2 linked regions of the Lonchura striata genome follow. The protein of the gene in region 2 interacts with the protein of the main gene of each other region in a pairwise test. Links are inferred from orthologs where the notes say so. Each region holds a gene or a part of one and is shown on either strand. Other genes may lie near its edges.

Region 1 (9,775 bases), on a different chromosome or scaffold from region 2:
TACAGTGAGTCAATGCAATAATGTTGAGTGGAAAGCAACAGCCAGTACAAGAACTCATAGACCTTGGACTTATCTCTCTGCTCTGGCACTGTCCTGTTGGGTGACCTGAGGCCAACTACCTTCCTCCTGGTGTTTCAATGCCTCCAGCTATGAAAAGAGGACAACAATAGCTGCCAGCTGTGAAAAGAGCTTTGATTTGAAAAGATAAAAAATGTTACCTAAGAGACAGGAACTAGAAAAGAGGCTTTTCAACCTGAGCTGATTATGTAAAGGTAAAACTCTGAAAAGTTAATAAAGGTAAAAAACATACTTTTCCCCCCCACATTGGTGGAATTACCAGCGATACTGATGGTAGGAATTGCCAGCTAATTTCTGTTCTGTTTATACTGGTTTTGCTAAGCTGGAATAACATTACAATGGTTTCATTTTGGTTGTGGCTATTTCCGAAAAGAAGATTCCAGGCCATTTCTTAACTCTGCCGCTCTTAAGAGCCCTAGTGAGCACTCCTCTCAGCTATCACAAGGAATGGCTATCACCCCAATTACCTATCAGTCCACTCACACTAATAAAAAGGTAAGGTAGTAGTTTTTCCTTTGATAAACAAACCCCTCAAAATCAGGGCCTGTTAGCTGTGAATCAAAATTTGTTTGCCTGCTGTTTGCCAAGTGAACTGAGGTGTATTAACCTCTGCTTTGCAATGAGGAGGTTCTGGGCAGTAACATGGAACCAGCAGGGCCATGATCCCCTGAAACACAGGGAACAACAGCAACTTGTCCCTGTGTCATCACCTTGTAAGCCTTAATTGAGAGAGGCTGGTTTGAGTGGTGGCACATACATATTCAGTCTGCTACCGTTATCACTTTTTCTGTAAAGAGTATTTAAATGATAATAACCAACACAGTGAGGTCTAGTAATGCAGACATAACAAGTAACAGTGACAAATTAGTTGGTCAAGTAAAACTAAAGAATTAGAATGACTGCTCTCTGCATAGGAAGCTGTATATTTTATATCACTGGGCTTCATATCTGTACCATAAAATAAGGAACTGAAATCCTAATTGTTTGTACCATGCCGATTTAATATTAATTTTCAACAGCACACTGTAATGCTTCTGCATTAATGAACACTTCTACTAAAGAAGGGCAGGATGACACAAACAGCAGCAATACAGATAATAATTAATGAAATAAATGCAAATCAACACTGAAGAATAGAATAAGAGAAAGGCAATCTGTGAATACCTTGTAATCTACTGTTAAAATGGGTTAGGTTTTTCTTAATAGACAGTTTTGTTATTAGTTATTTGTTATTTGTTATTTGTTATTTGTTATTTGTTATTAGTTTTGTTATTAGTTCACTAAGTAAAAGTGAAAATACTGCTATAAAGCAATTACTGCTTGACTTCCTAATTTGGCAAATCTATGTTTATTTACCCCACAGATTTACCTGGACTTTATATAATAAACAGGCTATAGGTTAATCATTCAATCATTAACAAATGTATACTGACACCATCAAAAAAATCCAGCTATGAAATATGACCAGGAACTTCAATAGGTAAGTTTGTCCACCTTGCTAAATAAAGTTGTCTGGTTAATATAATTGCTTTAAATATTGTTCTATTTAACAATTATTTATTGTTATGAAATATCATAGCAAAGAAAAATTTCAGTTAAGACTGCCAAAATGCAGTTAAGAGTACTGTAAAGGTTTCATGGATGAGAAAATTCCTTGACTCTACTATTGTTAGAATGAGAACCTAATAAATGGACTATTAAGTTTTCCATAATCTTACATTTCTCTTCTCATCCTCATAAAGAAAATGATACCAGCAGGTAACCCTTCAAATACATTATAAGACTACAAAGAATCAGTGGGTCCATGACCACACTTAATAGTCCTTTTGGTAAGCATCATATTTTGAACTCAGAAGAAGAGCTTTAGAAGTACCTGTAAAAATCAGCTGTGTCAAGGAGTTTGATTTTGTGTTAATTACTCATTGTTGAGGTTAAAAAGCATTTAAACTTACAAGATAGTTTCATTAAAATATAATGTCAGAGCTGAAATTTAATTAGATGTATAGTTTTCTTGACTCTGGTAAAACTCTGAATAGGCAGTAATTTAGGAATTGAGGTTTTGTGTTGAAATCCCAAATAGGTATTTAGAAATTGTGATCCTCTCAAATATAGGGAACACAATGTCATAAAAGCCTGAAAGCTGTAATAACTTTAGATACCAAAAGCCCTACTGTTCTGCTGTGAGACCAAGTTTCAACTGTTAAGTCTCCCTTGAACCAAAGTAAGTAACTAAATTTCAAAGTGGTTGCCTTCCAATGAGGCAGTAGGACACAGTAAGAAGAGTGCATGATACATCTCAGCACATATAGGATCAAGCCTTTGAAAAAATGTTGAAAATCTATTAGTTGCTTCTTGAAAAATCACCTAAAACCTTTTGGAAAACCCTGAAAGCATTTAGATAGCACCAGGTGCAGGTGGTGGTAGACTCAGAATCCATGCAGTAGATGGTTTTACTCTCCTACATAAGCTAAAACCATGTTGGAAAAATAGATTTTGTTTTAAACTATGCAATTTTTATAATGAAAAATGTTTCTCATTTTATTGTAACTTCTTAAAATGCTTATGGGCAAAGGTCTGCGATAGATGCCACATTCCAGATTTACTCAAGGTTTACAAAGAACTACTAGTAAGCAGTACAGAACAGTGCAGTAAACACAAAGAAGATTCATCATACTGATAGGGAATATAATAACACAACTCCACATCATATATATAAAATACTAAAATTTTCCTGTTATCATTGGTAAGCTTCAGAAATGAATATGCTTCATAAAATGCTTCCTAAATCCATTTTGAAAATTAAAGAAATGGGAACACTTGTAGTGATTCAAATTTCAGAATTTTTCAGTCCTACACACAGCTGTAGTTTCAACACAGACATGGCAGTAAGGATGTATTTTTTGCTTTTTATTTGTCTTGTAACCATTGCTTTGAAAATTAAGCTTTGCCCCTGTGAATGTAAATTAATATCACTGATACATTACTGCCCATTCAGCTTTTCATTAGGGATAGCACTTAAGGGAAGGGCAAGAAGCATATTTTTTGATCTTTTTTAATGACTAAAATTGTAAAGATAGTATTTTTTTAAATTAAAGTCAAGAAAATGATTTTTCATTTCTTTATAAAACCTGGGTCTATGTCACTCTTTAGACAGAATACTTTCTAATGAAAGCTTTCTGCATACAGTTTTAGACAAAATATTTTCTCCTCAGCTTCACTGACAAAGAAATCCTTGTTAATATTCTGACACGTTGGAATTTGTTCACAAGCTTTGACACAGAGCATGTGCAAGGTATACATACAACTGCACAATGCCCACACTTTTATTCCTTATACTGGTTTTCTCATTCAGAATACTGTAAATGGAGCCTTCAGGCTCTCTACTCTCCTCCCCTAACAGATCTGGAAATGCTCTGGAAATCTGATCCTCTGGTACTGCTGCCCTTCCTTTTTCCTTGTTTTTCAGTGATATACCCTTCTGAATTTGTTTGCTCCTGCAGCTTTGGCTCCTCTGTGATGTTGGAATGGTTCTCAGCAGCTTTAGCTAATTCAGGTTGTAATTTGGTTTTGCATGTGATGCCATCTCCTCGGATTACTAGGAGTTTGTTTTCACAGAGCCTGACACAAATTCTCTTAACTCAGTCTCCGTGCCTACAAGTGACTTTGAGTTGAGACAAGTATCTTGTATTCAAGTTGATCTTTGCAGATTCTGCTGTGTTATTGCACTCAGATTATTGTCAGATTTCACTTGCTTTCTTTGGAACAGCACTGTCTGCAGCTGGAGATGAACTATGGTTCCTTATTAATCTTTACAATGTATGCATTTTTGCAGCTTCCTCTTATAGCTAGAAATATTTGTATATATAATAACTTGGTAAAAAAAAAATCTTCATTTACTTACATAAGCTTATTGCAAACAGGTGGCAAAAAGGCAGTTTTGTTTTCTTCTATCCATTTTCTTACATTCACAAGAAGCTCCATGGTCCACCACCTCTGAAATTTTGCCCAAGATATCAGAATTTGAAGAGTGCTTTTTTTTTGAGCAGACTGCCTGTGATTCCAACCCCAGTGTTCAGAGGATTGGCTGGTAGGAGAGGTGGCTTCAGTGTCAAAAGGGACAGGTTCATCAGTCAAAGGTTACTTCATAGGGAGCACTAATCCTCCAGCAGTTTGGCTAATAATTGACTAGTATTTTAAAAATATAATTTTTTTTTTTTTTTTTTTTTGAGACTAAGTTTCTTAATTCTCTTTACTGCATCTACTGGAGTGTGAACATTACCTCTACAAAAACGGCCAGTCAGAAAAGAAGTCAGAAAAAATGGGTGAGGCTGGGGCATTCACTCCTTTCAAGTCTGATACCAAAACCTCCCTTCAACATTCTAAGGCTGAATGTTTGTGGTATATGTATTTGTTTGAAAATACTGGGATCTTCTTTTGCCAAGTAGCCAAAATACAGATGTCTCCTGCATTTGTAAGACCAAGAGTAGCTGTCCCTAAATGCTCATCTTAATTTGATCTGCTCTGCCAATGTTATAGCAGGGCTTGTGGAGAGCTGACCCTGATTCTGTGGTGCCCTTTGGGAAAGTACAGCATACTGCCATCAACTTGTCAGGCAAATAAGTAACTGAGAAGAACCAGACATTCCAGATCTTCATTAGTCTTTATTCCCTCACAAGTTGCTCTTCAAGATCTACACAGTTGCTCTAGGACTGCTCACTCTGTTCCCTGTCACCTCCAATTTTTAAAAACAAATAAATCAATAAACAGTCTCCAAACACATGAAATGAGTGGGCAAACAAAAAAATCCCAAGACATTACAATATCTTAGCACTTTGCTCTTGATGTATCTCAGTCTTCTACTTTTATCTACGCTGTGCTTAGTGGGTGAATGTGTATGGGTATAAGGTGATTAAATTATCTGGTTAAAAGTGAGTAGTACATTCTCCCTGGCTTGCACATATGAGCAGTGCAGCTACAGGCCTGAAAATTCAGCACGATGAGCAGTACAAAATTAAGAGTTTTTAAACTCATCCTGTTGTAATTTTCCACCAGAAGAAAGCAACAGAGTGTGACTTTGAACTAATACTTTGCTTTTATCAAATATTTGTAAGAGTGACTCTATTTTACCTTTGTCTCTATCACTTCTTTGCACTTTAGTTAAAACTCACTGTGTAATTTATAAAACAGGAAAAAAATCCATTCATTTTTGGATAAAAAGATCCACATGTGGATTACAGTTCCACTGTATTAATACAATCACAATGGGACTAGCTGTAATTTCCTCTGAAATAAGCTCAAAGTTGTTCTTATTTCATTCAATTACAAAACACCACTGCCACATCACTTATTTAACACATGAAATTTCTACCAACAGAATGGCTTCTGTTGGTGAGACACCACCTCAACAGCAAACACATAGGGCCTGGTTTTGAACTTACAGACAGGTACATTTTGGTACTTTTTGTTCTGTAGGCTGCTGGCAGTTCTGCTCTTAGCTATGAAGGAAAGAGAGCTTCTATTGGAAATGCACTTTCACTTAGAGGCTTATAACCTAGATTGGCAGGACTGGAGAAGTGCAGACACTAGTTAATGATCATAGTTTTGTAAAGCTCTCCCTCATCATTAGCAACTTGTATTGCAGAGCAGGACTCCATTTGTTGGGCAGGAAAGCCAAGAGACTCTACAGAGTCACAGTAGGAAAAAACACAGATCCTGGAACTGATTGAGCCAATCTTTGTTCATCACAGTGTTAAAGTACCAGTCTTAACTGCAGGGCTCTTGTCCACAACCACTGTTCTAATCCCTCATCTCCACTTTTTCCCACCAGGCAGAATACAAGGTACTATTACCTGCAGAGAAAGTTTCTCAGTTGCAGGCTCATAAATCCATTTTGTGGCTGGTATGAGGTATGAAAACCTGACAGTTAAACCTACTCAGGAAGGAAACAAAGTCCACTTACAAAATTCACCATTAATATAGGACTGAGGCTATTATCACAGGGTAGCATTTTCTGTAACCTTCCGAAAATCAGTAGGTTCTGAAAAATGAAGTTAATTGCTACTTCATGCATATAATAGTGGAGCTAAGGAATGCAGATAAATGCATGGTATGAAAGGTTATGAAACTGTTTCTGAGAAGAGTACTGGAGAGGCAAAGATAAGAACCAGTGATGCACTTACTCGGGTCTCTGCAACATCCGAGTAAGTGCATCTCATACACCTCAGGAACTAACTGGGGCCTGGATTTTTCTTGCTAGTCTGCTTCATGATGGCTCTTCACATCCATCAGAGTCTGTTCCAGCACCTGGGGTTTCTTCCTTTTGGCCCTGATCTTTCCTTTTATGCAAAGGCAAGGACTCGACGTGTAACCTTTTGCTGCCAAAGGAGTGCAAGAGTACTGAAGCACAGAACTGTTACATGAAAATAATTCATTTATTGCATTGAGGGTACAGGAAAAAAGAGTTACTGGAAAAAGTTGCATTTTGGACAACACTATTTTTCTACCTTCCTCAGTCACCAAACCCATTAGAGACTTAAATTTACAAGCTTGTATCCAGCAAGAAAAATATGTTAACAAAAGAATACAAATCAAATACTGACACTGGGCTATATACTTTTTAATCTACATTCTTGATACTACCTTTTTATCTCCCCACAGCTATCTTTGTGCTGTATAGACTATTTTGTTACCATAATGATGTAAAGGGTAATGAAGGCTGCTGCTGTTTTCTGGTATGCCATAGGTACACCTATATGATGGAAAATTTCTCACAAGAAATGAGCTGCCAGTTCTCCTTGCCAAGCCAGACACCTTAATCAAGGATTACACACAGCAGTTGCATGCTGCTTCACCTGTCAGTGGTGCATATAATGGAAATATATTTTAGGTAATGTCCACAGTAATAATATAATCAGAAGAAAAAGTTCCTTGGCAAGTGAGCTGACACTCTGAATGGAGAGGAGATGCTTCTCATTTACCACGGGGATCATGGGGGAAGAGAGGAAGTGGAGTCACACTTGGGTTTAATTATCTGCTGCTGCCGGTTATGTTTACCATCTTTTTTGCCACATAAGGTAGGAGAGATAAATCCATGTTGGAGATACACTTTAACCATGCTCGCACAGCGTTGAACAAACACTTGTTTTGAGAGTGCTGGGCACCCCTCGCGTCGCACACAGCGGCGATGCTGGAGACACCAACATTAATTCCCGGCCAGTCACCGCTTACTCCTCCCTGCGGCCTGGTCCTGAGCATGCCCGAGGGAGCACCGTCACCCCACGGCTGCCGCTGAGCGCGGGGCTGGAAGGCAGCCCCAGCGGCCCAAGCCTTTACCGAGGCCGTCGGCAGGCGGGGGCCGCACGCCCCGGGGCCGAGCTCCGCCCGTCTCGTCCCCGGCGAACGGAGCGGCGAGCGGCGCTCCAGCCGCGGTCCGCAGGGCGCCCCGCCCCGCCCCGCCCCGCCCGGCGGCGGAGGGCCGGGCTCTGCCGCACCCGCGGCCTCCGGCCCGCCCACCCCGCGGGGCGGCCGGGCCGCTCGGGCTTTGTCCGGGCCCCGCCGCCGCTCGTCTCTCCCTGGCTCGCGGGCGCCGCCTTTCCCGAGCACTGCGGCGTCCGCCAGCTCCGTCGTGCCTTGCCCGCGCCGCTAACGGGGTGGCGCGGCCCGGGCACGGAGCCGGGGCGGCTTCGGGCCGCCGCTCAGCGCCCGGTGCGGGCGGGAGTCCGCCGCCCTTCCCCCGCCGGGCCGGGGAGCCCTTGATAAAGCGTTCGGGACGAGTTGGTGTCAGGGCTCCAGTGGCGCAATCGGTTAGCGCGCGGTACTTATACAGCAGTACAAAGCCGAGCAATGCCGAGGTTGTGAGTTCGAGCCTCACCTGGAGCACACAGCTTTTTGGGAGAGGAAACGGGCTTTTTTTGGGACCCGGCGGCGCTCCGGACGGAGAAGGACAAAAGTGCGGAGAAAAATTAAACAGCCTTGGCGGCACCGTGGGGCCGCTGCAGCGGGGCGCACCGCGCCCGGGCAGCGGCTCCGCGGGGCGCGCCGGTGCCTCCGTGCCACGTGTGTGCGTGTGTGCGTGTGTGCGTGTGTGTGTGTGTGTGTGTGTGTGTGTGTGTGTGTGTGTGCGCGTGTGTGCGTGTGTGCGTGTGTGTGTGTGTGTGTCTGTGTCTGTGTGTCCACAGGCACTTGTCCCCGCTGAGCGGGACAGGATTCACGGCACCCTGTCCCTGCACACAAGCGTGTTCCTTCTCCGAGCTGCTTGTGAGTGCGAAATTATAGGAAATAAAGGTTATTTTATATTGCCTTGTTTCATACGGAGTGCAAGTAAAGGCTCCACTGGTGTAGTCGCTGTGACTCAATGGTGATAACGTCTCTGTTTTGCCTCCTTTAGTGGTGACAGTCTTTGTAACTGTATTCATTGCCTGGGTAATGCTTAAAAAGTGCACACTGAAAGAAGGAAAGTACTTCAAATAATTTCTGGTTTCTCCACTCAAGAAAGGCAGTGGCGCCATGGGAAAAGGGCAGCTCTGTAATGGAGAAAGTTGCAGGGAGCTTCGTGGATGTCTAGGCCCAGATCTTGTGAATTCCCCTCTACGTTAATATCTAGTCTGCTGCTTTCACAGTGCAATTTATACCAAAAAGTTGAAAGAGGTTCTCAACATCATATAGCCAGAGATGTTTCTATTGCCCATATCAGCCCTTTGTCTGTACTGCAGGCATTAACTCCTAGACGTGGCACTTTAAGGCTCTTAATTATCCTTTCTGTCTTTTAGTTAGCACTTTGTCCCCTTTGAATTTTACATTAACTTGACAGCTTTCAGTGATGGAGTGATAATCCCTTATAGTGGTATAAGGAAATGTAAGTGGATAAGAGATATCTGTAATGTATCAAAGAATGAATAAAATTCATCTTTTGCTTGCAGTGAGTTTCATGTTTTTTTCTTCATGCTAGGATATCCTGGTCCTAGTGCTGAGGACTGTACAGAGGAGTATCGAGAATACTAAAATATGAAAGTGCTGTTTTTGTGTAACTGGGGAAAAAGAACCCAAGCTACAAATCATTAGAAAGGGAGAGGGACTCCATTCCTTGGACAGAGACCTTTTAAGAGACTGAGTGGGGCAGCACTGCTTCCTTTGCCTCTTCCGTGGTGGGTCTCCAGGAACAGGCAGCAGCTCCTGCACCCTCCTGCCAAGGAGGAGCTGCTAGTTGGACATCTTGGGCCTTGCTCTGGCCTGCTGGGCGAGTGATTATAGAATTTTTGCCACATTTTGTGACATGCTTCCATGGTGGTGCCCGAGAGTAGCCAGGACATGCATGGGACCATAAAGTGCTGTGAACTTCTCCACAAGATCTCCTTCATCCCCGTAGTCTTTACCTCAGCTTTTACTGATTCTTGTCTTGAAAAAGAAACAATTGCTTTGTGAGGTGACTTGAGTTTCTGCCCCTGTGCCTGTCACCTGAAGGGCAACATGTTCCAAGATAGGCATTTTACACTGAAAGTCATGCTAGATCAGCACAATTTATGTGGATTGACTGGAAATCCCAAGAAAATGAGCATGTGGTTTATCTGATGGCTGTTTAGTACATAAAGTGATGGGCTGCTGAAGCACGAGACCTTCCCGTGGAGGCAGGGCTGTGCGCTGTGGGGAGCCCTGGTGCTGCTGGCTGTGGCGGGTCTCTTCCCACCCCTCCATGGCAGGG
Region 2 (10,534 bases):
CCTTTGCAGGTCTCCAGTACTTTATCTTGGTCCAAGGTACAATATCTCGGTATCCCAGTGGCATCTCAGGTCATTCCTGGAGTCCCTGTCATTACCAGTGTGTTCTTGTTCTTCTGTAGAGAATTAATGCAAAGTGAAAATTAAGGATGATTGTTCGGTGTCGAATGGTTTTTGAAAGGATTTTGCATCTTTTGAGCTCAGTTTGTTAGCTGGCTGGCTGGCTGGTTGTTTAAAATATGCATTTTTAAACTGACTGTTGACAAAAAAACATTTTAAAATAGCAGATGAATCTGTAATGCATTTACTTGAACAAGAATTTCTTAAATTTCTCAGAAGTTATCCTTCATCTACCTGGATCCCCTGCTGTATTTTAGGAAGAGTTTATTCACTCACTAAGTGGTTTTTTTCAACATTTTAAAAACCAGTAACCAGAATGCAGTTCTGCTTACTGCAGCTGAAGTCTGTTGCAGCATTTTCTACAGCCTGTAGAAAGCAGTGGTTATGTTAATATCTGATGACATTTAGGGCTAATTTACACCAATACACAAGCCATATTCTATGTCTAACATCTTAGATTCTGGAAAAGGAAATTCTGGGCTCTTTAACATTCTAGAAAAGCAATGTGTTGTTCATTCTTGCAGTTCTTCAGATCCCTAAAGCCTCTGTAACAGAATTTTCTCTGAAGGAGGAAGCCAGTGGAACATTTGTAAAGTTTTCTGTGTGGCACGACTAGTCCCAGGCTGGTGTTCTGTCGTTGGTGCTCTCTCTCTAGCTGCAGAGGAATGCAAGTAGCCTTGCTACCTGTCCTGGGGAGAACAGAGCGGTTGGAAACCAGAGCATGACCCGTTGTACTCTCCTGAATCCCTTCCCAGACAGTTCCTTTAAACCCTAGCAAATATTAAGTATCCTTTAAGATTACGAAGAGAGAAGTTATACTTGATTCACTGCTCAGAGCAGTGCTGTACTTTATCTCCTGTGTATTCGCTTTTAAAATTTTGTTATGGCTAAACTGTTAAAGATAGCATTGTGGAGGCTCTCAGTTCAGCCAAAGAGAGAACAAAGGATTCTCCCAGGCTTCAGGCCTGGGAAACTTGGAGAGAAAGAATTTAAACAATTATTATCTCTCTTTCTGTTCATGTTGTTTATAGATACGTTCTACCACAGTGTGCTATTCATGGATCACCAGTAGTGTGAAAGGTTTTTACTTTGAGACCAATGAAGTCTCACTTTAGCAATCCTAGTTATAAAAAGACACTACTTCTTAATAATAAGCCTTCTTTTTCACCTTCTGTAACTTAAAATAATTTAATCCCATCGCTACTCAACAACATTCAACGTGGCTAAGTTCTGTTTCTTGTTCTAGTGCTGAGTTAATGTTGTTCCAGATGACAGCAGCTCTGTTTTTTCCTGTGGTTGTATTCTTCAAGTGCAACTATCAGAATACCATTAACAGGAGTCAAGAGCATTAGGTAAGTGTGTGCTTGCACAGAAGTTTTGAAAGGCCAAAGGAGACAAGATTTTATTGCATAAATAGATTGGAATATGTGTCTGTAAAAACTCTAATCTGATTTTTCTGTCTGGGAGATGTCTCCAATTTGAATTACCTATCTCTTAATCTGGGAGAAGTGGTTTTGTCCTTAAAAATGCCCCTCAATATTTTCATAATCTTCCATACTTGTACTGAATAGAGAAGCCCGTGTAACTAATGATTGCTTTGCTTAAAGTTCATGCACATTTCTATTACCTCCAAATAGGAATCTGTTAGTTGTAAAAATGCTAGTGAAATCCATTTGAAATAGGGAAGATTAACTACTCAGTCTAACAGAGAGAAAGGATTTTTTTTCTTACCTGTCCATCTGTTTTTTTCTGGTGGACCAACATGTCTTGGTAGACAAGCAAATATCACTCTACTTTTCAGAGTGCAGTGTGCCTGTTATCCATCTTTGTAGCTGTTCCTACCATTCTGTTTGTGTTTCTGTGCTTTGATTGCCCTGTGTTAAAAAATGTAAGTATTGGTGCTTTGTTTAAATTCTGTATTTCAATCAGGTGCACTTAACCTTCCATTTTGGAAACTATTTTTATTTCTGTTTCTGTAATGTTGTAGCTAAAAAGAAACCAGAGGAAGGAAGGGTTTCAAATGCAGTGCTGCGGGAAATCTGCTATTTCACCAGTACTGATGGCTATCCAGGGCAAACTAACTGACTTATCCAGGACAAAACCTGACTTATCCACCACAGAGGAAAGAGGAGGGGAAAGGGGGAAAAAATAAAACTAAATAAACAAAAACCAAAACCAAAAGAAACAAAAACCCAAAACAACCAACCAAAACAAAAAATCCTAGCTAAAATCACAACTCTAATGATCCCAAAAACTTTTGAGACTTGCAAAGCCAATACCTGAAACTCAGTTATTAACTGAGAAGTGTTTTTTTTAAACTAACAGAAAAGCCCATGCTTTTTGTTTCTTGAGGATTATTTGTGAAATATGCTTAATTTAAACAATCGTGTGTTAAAAAATCCCAGAATCCAGCTCTCCAAATTTGTTCTGAGATTGTGCAGTTTGACTCTCCAATCTTCTGCAGCAGCATTCCTGAAACTGCTGAATGTTCTCATTGTAAACTAATGCCCTCCTCTGGGATAAAATATATAATTCAGTGATATGTATCAATTATAATATCATAAGGGGAAAAATATCCAGGCATTAGCTGTTTGGGCTCTACAGGGTTACTGGGGGAGGTGGGAAATAAATTTCCTTTCAGACACAGGGTAAATTGCAACCTCCTAAAACTGGTAGAGAGTGTACACTTACTGGTGTACTATCACTTGTGTTACTCTTTCAAGTTGCAATCACAGTTACCTAACTTAAGTAATTTGTTTGATCCATCTAGATAAAAAAGGTTTTATTTTGTTACAGCTTGGAAGTAAGGGAACTCTCTTTCTTTCTATGTTTGCTTGGGGGTATTGGGAGTTGGGATTTTCCACTGCTATTGTTTCAGGATGTGGGTTGTTCTTTGGGATGTTTTTCAGATGAAGCAGATCAAAATGGACAACAAGACATGCCAGCATGGATCAGGAAGGGGACATCCTGAAACAAGAAGCCACAAAGTATGTAAAACAATGTGCTTCAGATTAGACTTTTCTAAATGCCCTTCATCACAGCAGTGCTGAATGTTCTGTCTGGCAGTTCATATTGAGCTGTCTTTGAAATTCGAGTGATGTACATGATCCTTAAATATGGGCCAGTTGGGTACATCAGTACTGACTGTTCATAAACCCAAAGCAAACACATCATTCATCTTCTATTAGTTTTTGTCAAGTTATAGAGAACAGCAAAAGTTATCTGTAGCATAGGAGTATAAATCCACAGTCTTCACCAAATTTCCATTTGTAGAATTTTCTGGACAGGGCCAAGTAATCCAAATAATCGGAGCACTAATTTGTTATTTTTTCTCTTGGCATGTTCATTTTTTTTCATTACAGATATACAGGAATTTATTATCTGTATTTTTAAGTACCAAAGATGATAGCCACAAAAGTTTTGAAAAACTTAATTTTGAACAATTTTCCAATTTTTCTATGTCAAGAGTTAATGAAATTTATTATTTAAATGATTCCATTTTATGTAAGATACAGGTAAGGTAGACATTTTTGTATACCAGGAATTGTAGGAAAAGAAAGAGATACTGAATGCAATAAATATAATTTGTAATAATGTACTGGATTAAAAATTATAGCTGTATTACTAAAAAGAAAAAGAAAACCTCACAGGCTGCAAAGACAAAAATACAAACCCTCAGGTCCAGAAACACCACAGATGTTCTCTGTACTTACTGTTGTATACAGTTTCAAAGAAAGAATTTGCCTAATCCCAGCCTGCTAAAATATTCGTAATCCACACAAAATGGCAATTAAAAGGCAACACAGAGAATTCATGGAGGGAACCCCCCACAATAATAATAATAATCACCAGAAGTCAAATTTGTTTTCTGCCTGCAGATAAATGCATATATAACATGACTATAGTTCAGAATATGAAGAAATAAGAAGCGTTAGGGCACTGGGATTTTTCTCTATTTGCCTCTCCATTGTCATCTATCTATATTGTGACCTCCTTACCGTGTAGGCAGGAGGTGCTCATCTCTCTTAAAATATTGTATGCAGCTCCAAACACAGTGACTATTCAAATCTACAGGTTGCAATACAAATAGTGGGGTTTTTTTTCCTGCTTGACAGTCATTGTTTATATGTCCACATCTATAAAAACTATATAATTATTGAGTAGTCTTTGTTGCTAAATATATTTATTGCATCACGTTCATTCCTTTGCACACTCAGGGTATTCAGGATTCATATTTTAGCATGTGCCGTTTGTGGATGGAGGTGAATTCAAGAAATACCCCAGGCCTGGCTATTTAAAGTGAGTTCTAGTTGATGTGCTGCTTACAGGCTTCAGCTAAGGGAATTACATATCTTCATCCTACTGTCTTGCTGATACCACGCATCAATGGTTTTTTCTGCGTGTTTCACATCATCAGTAAACATCTGGATTCAAAGCAAAGCCAAAGTCTTCTGGATCCCCAGCTACGAAGATATTCTCTCTAACCTGTGCCTAGAGTGCACTGGAGCAGTAGACTCAGGGAAGGGACAGTCACGTGCAAGGAGAAAAGAGCAGATTGCTGGAGGAGCACAGCTGGAGGGGAAGACTTTGAACTCTCTCGGTGAAAGCGGCACATCTCTGAGTGCCCGAGCCTGGGCGTGTACACCTGGCAAGGATGTTTCAAAGATTTCAATGGTTGTGGCGAGTTCTGAATGAAGTCGCTGAGCTGGAGTAGTTCGGGTTTAGGTCGGTTTTTCAAGCAGGTCCGTTGCAAATGAAAATTAGCAAGCGTTTCCAGGCGTGCTGTACAGCCACGCTGTAGATGAGCGAGGGAGGGACGCGCGGAGCCCCAGGGTTTGCTGCTTTTCCCTTGCCGCCGCCGGGGCCAGGACGAATAGACCGTGGTGAGCGCGGGCTCGGAGCAGCCGCAGCCGCGGCCGGGCGTCTGCGCAGGGCTTTGCGGAGCGTCTGGGCTTGAGAGGCAGCGCCACCCAGAGGGGCCGAGAGGCGGGGAGCGGGGCCGGGCCCGTGGGGCTCGCTCTCGGCGTGCTCCTGCACGGCCGGGAGGCAGCGAGCGCTCCGCACACCGCCCGGGCCGTGCGAGGCTGCAGCCCGCGCCCCCGAGCGCGCCGCTCACCCTGCCGGGGCTGCGCGGCCGGGCCGGAGCGGCCGCTGTCCGAGGTGCTGAGCGGAGAGCCGGGAGCGCCGGGCTCCTCGAGGTGCTGGAAAGTGCGGGTCTCAGATTCTACGAGGATGTAAATATCTATGTTAAACCATGTCTGTTTACTCCGGACACACGCGCTTCTGGAAAGCCAGAAGGAAAGGAAAAATTTGTGTGTCGGGAATACACCCAGCCGGGTCGTGCCTCAAAGTGACTGATGGCTTAGGGGTTCTTTGTGTGGTCGTTCGTTGACTTTTTGTATTGCAGTCCTGCCATTACTTCCTTTGAACGTTTGTTTACATTATAAAGACTATTAGTTACAGTTATATTATTATTACTTCCACTCTGCACTGAGCAATTGTCTTGCTCAATTGGTTGAAACCAGCTTTAAAATGATAGTCTAGATACGAGAAAAGGTCATGTTAGCTAGGGCCATTAATATCTGTAAAGCTATGTTTAAAAACTGGCCTTTGTGCTGTCGGTGTTTTTGTTATATGTCCAGTTCCTAGAGAGCAAGTGTGCTTGACAAAGCAGTTGTCTTGGCTACTTAATACTGTCTGTCGGATGGTTTCCTTTACCAAACGGGCTTGTAAGTTTTTGCTTTTGCCTCGAGTCCTTCAGAAAGGACACAGCCCTGATGCTCATTGCACTGCCTAGCATCTACTGCATAAGATGAAATTCTCTGGCTCCATCAGACTGTTTCCCCTCCTCTCTTCTTATTGCGGATTCCTCCCAGCCCCTTATGTGGCATCTTTTTGAGAAGGGTTTGATTTAGGCATCTGCATAGCTACCGTGACATGCTGAAATACAGCACCGTGGTCACAACCATAAAATGTTGGCTAAGCATATTCAGGGTGTGGGATAGAGTAACGCAGACATGGGGTTGTCAGGGGTATGAAAAGCTCGTTATCTTAATGTTTCTGGTTTTAGCAAAGGGATGTCTGGTATAAAATCGTAATCTAAGGGTAAGTCACAGGCATCCAGGTGTTCCCCTTCAGCGGTACCCGTGCCTCTGCCACCCTCTGGCGGGGAGGAGCGGGGCGAGCCGCGGGAACCACGGACTGAGCCAGCGGGTCACATCAGACCCTCAGCACGGCGGAGCGGGGGACAGGGGGTGTTGCTAAGCTACAATTCACACGAACCCCGCCCGGCTCATTCGAGTCTCGCACCATGCTCAGGGAAAGGCCGGGACGGGAGTTCGGCCGCGTCGCCTCACCGGTGCGCCGATGTGTACGGTGCCTATTAGCACAGCTGGCGACCTCGGGTCAAGCCGGTGCTGTCTAGGGGAAACCTCTGGATCCATCCGCACGAGGTGCTCGACGAGGGGCTCGCACGGCAGAACCGCCTGCCTGGGGTGCCGCCCCTGCCGCGGCTGGACAGCCCCACCCGCCGCGGGAGTCAGCCCCGCCGCCCCGGGGCGAAGCAGACCAGCGACAGCAGCCGGGGCCGGTGGGCCGCCCTTCCCCGCCCCAGCCGGCCGCCCCAGCGGTCCCCAGCCCCCGTGCGGAGTGGAGGCGGTGGCGGCAGTCCTGTGACTCATGCCTGCGTCGAAGCAGATCAACTGGCGATTCACGCTTTTAAAAAAGCAAATCCGAGCACTTCTGGGAAAAAAGGTCATCTCGCATTAAATTCCGCGGCGCGATTGATATTCCGACGTCGTTTCTGGCAGAGTTTATAAGCGGCGGGTCGCTCCCAGGCTAGAGTCGTCCTGCCAACCTGGACTACGGCAATAAGAGTGTGCGCTCGCCTCCTCGGTAAGTGTCCTCTAAACAGCATCCTGGGGTTTTTTCAAGCCTTTGGGAACCTCTGGAGCATTTTTTCTCCCACAAATCGGTTTTGGTCGCTGTCGTATGAATAGAGGAATAACGGGTTTTTTTGATACCGCCCTAGACATAGTGTTAACCTGTTACTTCACTTCTAGGCATTGTCTAGAAAATATCTTCTGCTTATGGCTGTTTTCTTTCTCGTCTTAAAAAATTTACCTACCTGTTCTCCATTGAAATCATTGATCCGTTGCGTTTACACGCGGGTGTAAATCCACCCAGCAGTGGAAATGAATCGGTAGCTACCGATTTGAAAAAAGCCGCTAACAAAGAAAGCGTTCTTTCGTTACCGCGACCTTCATTTTCTTTACAAGGAGAAGAAAATAAATCGCAGGTAGACGTGGGGACAAAGAGACGAGCTGGGCAGTGACCCGGCAATTCTCGATCAGCGACCCTGTATTGGTTATCGGAACGCCGTGTCCGCCAGGAAAGAGCTGAACATCTGGCGAGGAGAGAGGGCTGCTCCTACTCCTTCCCTTCCCCAGACAGACATGCCTCTCCTGCCATTTGCGCCGCAAAAGCGAGCACGGGCACGGGAGATCGCTGGTTAGTGCTGGAGCACAGAGTGGCCCCGGTTTGCTGAAACATGTGTGTGTAAATTCACATGTATGTGGCGCCTGTCATTGGACCTGGGCAAAACGCACCTTTGTTGTGGCGGGGTTTTGTCTGTCAGTCTTTCCTGAATGCTCAGCCTGACGTGTGTTTGGTAAAGCCCAGAAGCGGGCTGTGTTTGGGATTGTAGGTCGTTTGGGCTGGTGATTTCGAAGTCCGCTTTGCACGTTGGTCTCCATTTGATGCGAGCCGTATAACTGCCCTGCTCAGTGGCCACCGATATAATTGCTATAGGCTTCATGCTCTGCTAAATCCGTCATTCAGGCGCGGGGGGTAGCGCCCTGGAATCTAGGGAAGGGAAGATTTTGCTCTTCAGTCTGTCGAGGCATTTTCCCGGTTCGGCCGGTCCTGCCGCCGCCTCGGGACCTGCGCGGCTGCCGCCCGCTGACGTCTAGACGGGACTCTGGTGCGGTGCTCCAGGAGACTAGACTACTAAACCCGCCTGTTCTTCCTTCCAGCAAATTCCTTGCTGCCCACCCCTCAGAGGAATATCGAGGAAATACGAGCTCCGAGGACCGGGGCTTTTCTGAAGGGATGGCTTCCTCTGCTCCCTCGTCCTCCAACGATGCTCCGGACCCCACCCCACCTAATCTGCGACCTACAAGTAGGTTTTGCTATTTTCCTCGTTTTAAGTGTTTTGGAGGCTTTCTCCATTTAGGCTCAGAAAGACCAGTTTCGAAACGAAATGATACATCTATGAAGCCTTGTTCCGCGCCATTAAGCAAGGTGCGGAAAGTGCTCTACACAAAGAAACCATCTTCCTATTGGGAACAGGAGAGGTCGGTCCGTGGCGAGTAAAACGCTGTGAGGAAAAGCCCACCTTACTGGCCAACGTTGTCTTTATCTTACAAACACGTTTGAGAGATACAGGCAATAAACTGACCTCCCAGATGAACAACAAAATCGGGATGTTGGAAGGGGTGAGGAGAAAACAAATCAGTTAAAGGGCGAAGTTACACCAGGGTATTAAAGCAGGTGTCTCCCAGCTACATTTTATAAATGCTAATGCTGCAGCTTCTTTTCAGCCTACGCTGAAGCCTGTAATCAAGCGAAATTTGGATGCTAATTGCAGCTTTTCAAAGCGTTATATTCCTAATTGCTCTGAATTCGCCTTGAGTTATTGAGGTGTGAGTGGGAAGCAGAGGCTGCTGCAGGTGGATAGAGAATCAGTTTATAAGCCCTGCCAGGCAGTTCAGACCATTGCCTACAGGAAAAAAAAATTAAAACCCGAACAATAAGAGGCTCGATGTTATGAAGCATCAGAGACAAAGAGCGGGCCAACACTAAGAAATGATAGGTTGTCAGGGACAGCAGAGCAGGTAATAGCTTTTACCCTGAAAGCAGTCCGAGACACGGAGCATCGGAGTCATTATTGTCATTATTCTGAAACTGGAAAAAACGGGAAAGGGGGCGAACGGCAGAACTGGGTCTTGTTTCAGGCGCGCGTGGCAGGCACTGCTGCCTTCGACTGAGGTGTCACACAGAGAAATCGAATTAATTGGCAACACAGCTAAAACAAAGATAACCGCTGGCAGCAGCATCCTGCCCTGCCCACACGGGCTCCCCACCCCCGGGCGCGGGCAGCGCCCCTGCCGAGAGGGTCCCTCCGCGCGGTCGGGAGCGCCTTGGCTCTTCCCCCTCCCCGAGAGTCAGGCCGCTGCCTCCGTGCTTGGGTGAGCCGTCTGAAACCTTCTCCCCCCACGCCACGTCAGCCACCCCCGGCCCCCGCTCGCCCTCTGGGTCCGTCGCTACTGGACTTGCGGCTGCCCCGTGCCGTGAGCGACGAACGGGAGAGGCTCGGTAGTGCCTGTGGCCGCGGCTGGCGCACCCTCCACCTCGGTCCTGGGCTTCGTTCCCCGCTTCCCGTGGGCTCAGCTGGGGCCGACCGGGGCGTGTCCGAGCCACGACTCGAGGGGCTGGGAATCAGCCTGTTCCCTCTGGGGGTGCGGTCCCAGTAGGGCCGTCGGGTGCCCCGTCAGTCCGTCCGAGGCTCAATGATGCGAGTCCGATCATCTAGTCAAATACTATTTTTCACCCAATTAATTCCTGAACTCTTTTGTGACCCCATTTCACGCCACTTTATTTTAAGCTGCTGCTTCCCTGGAGCCCCGCCAGTAAATGATGAGATGTCGGGTCCCGGGTGCCTTCGCCTCTCCTCTGGGCAGGCCAGCATGTCACCTCGCTGTCGTTCGAGCCTCAGCTGCCCCGCGCCCAGCGCCGCCGGGCTCGGTGTCAGCCGTTTCTCACGGCTATGGAGCCGTGCGGGGGACCGGGGTGGGGCGCGGCGGCCGGACAGCCCCGCCGCCCCAGGGGAACAACTCTGCTCTCTCTTCCAGCTTACGACTCATGGTGCGGCGTGGCTCACGGGTGCACCAGGAAGATCGGGCTGAAGATATGCGGTAAGTGCGGCCGTGCCTCCCCGTACGACACCCCGCACACCCACGCGTGACGACGCGGTCGCCCCAGCGGGGGCAGCCCCGGCCGCCCGCCGGCCCTGGCTCGGCCGCCCCCTGCCGGCCGCAGGGCGGCTCCGCGGCCCCGGCCCCGCCGCTGTGCCCTCCCGTGGGCCGTCCGCGGCCGAGGTTCTGTCCGCCGGGGGAGGGACGGCGGCGGCCCCGCTGCCCCTCCTGCCACATACGGGCTCCGGGCGAAGAAAGCTCAGGACCCGCCGGAGAGGCCGGAGGAAAACCGGGGGGTGGGGGGCCGGTTCGCCGCCTCTCACTGTCTGGGATTTTTCAGCCTTATCTGACTAGAAAATACGGATCTCCTGGGAAAAAAAAAAAAAAGATTAACGAGAGCCTTATTAAAGAGCAATTCGTCAGCTTGCTGTTCTGGTAAGATA

Evidence for each region. The genes of interacting proteins can lie anywhere in the genome.
Region 1: the proteins of GAD1 (region 2) and HAAO interact in a two-hybrid assay, tested with the Homo sapiens proteins (4 studies listed by BioGRID and IntAct). The two-hybrid records come from large-scale screens. The link is inferred for Lonchura striata from reciprocal best matches to the Homo sapiens genes GAD1 and HAAO.

The regions. Positions count from the first base shown.
Region 1 is NC_134605.1:14,236,372-14,246,146, forward strand, and holds the start of HAAO (3-hydroxyanthranilate 3,4-dioxygenase), read right to left. Parts: upstream 4,181-9,775; 5' UTR 4,060-4,180; coding exon 3,980-4,059; intron 1-3,979. UniProt on the Homo sapiens protein: Catalyzes the oxidative ring opening of 3-hydroxyanthranilate to 2-amino-3-carboxymuconate semialdehyde, which spontaneously cyclizes to quinolinate.
Region 2 is NC_134610.1:20,101,486-20,112,019, forward strand, and holds the start of GAD1 (glutamate decarboxylase 1), read left to right. Parts: upstream 1-6,714; 5' UTR 6,715-7,011; intron 7,012-8,150; 5' UTR 8,151-8,226; coding exon 8,227-8,296; intron 8,297-10,028; coding exon 10,029-10,091; intron 10,092-10,534.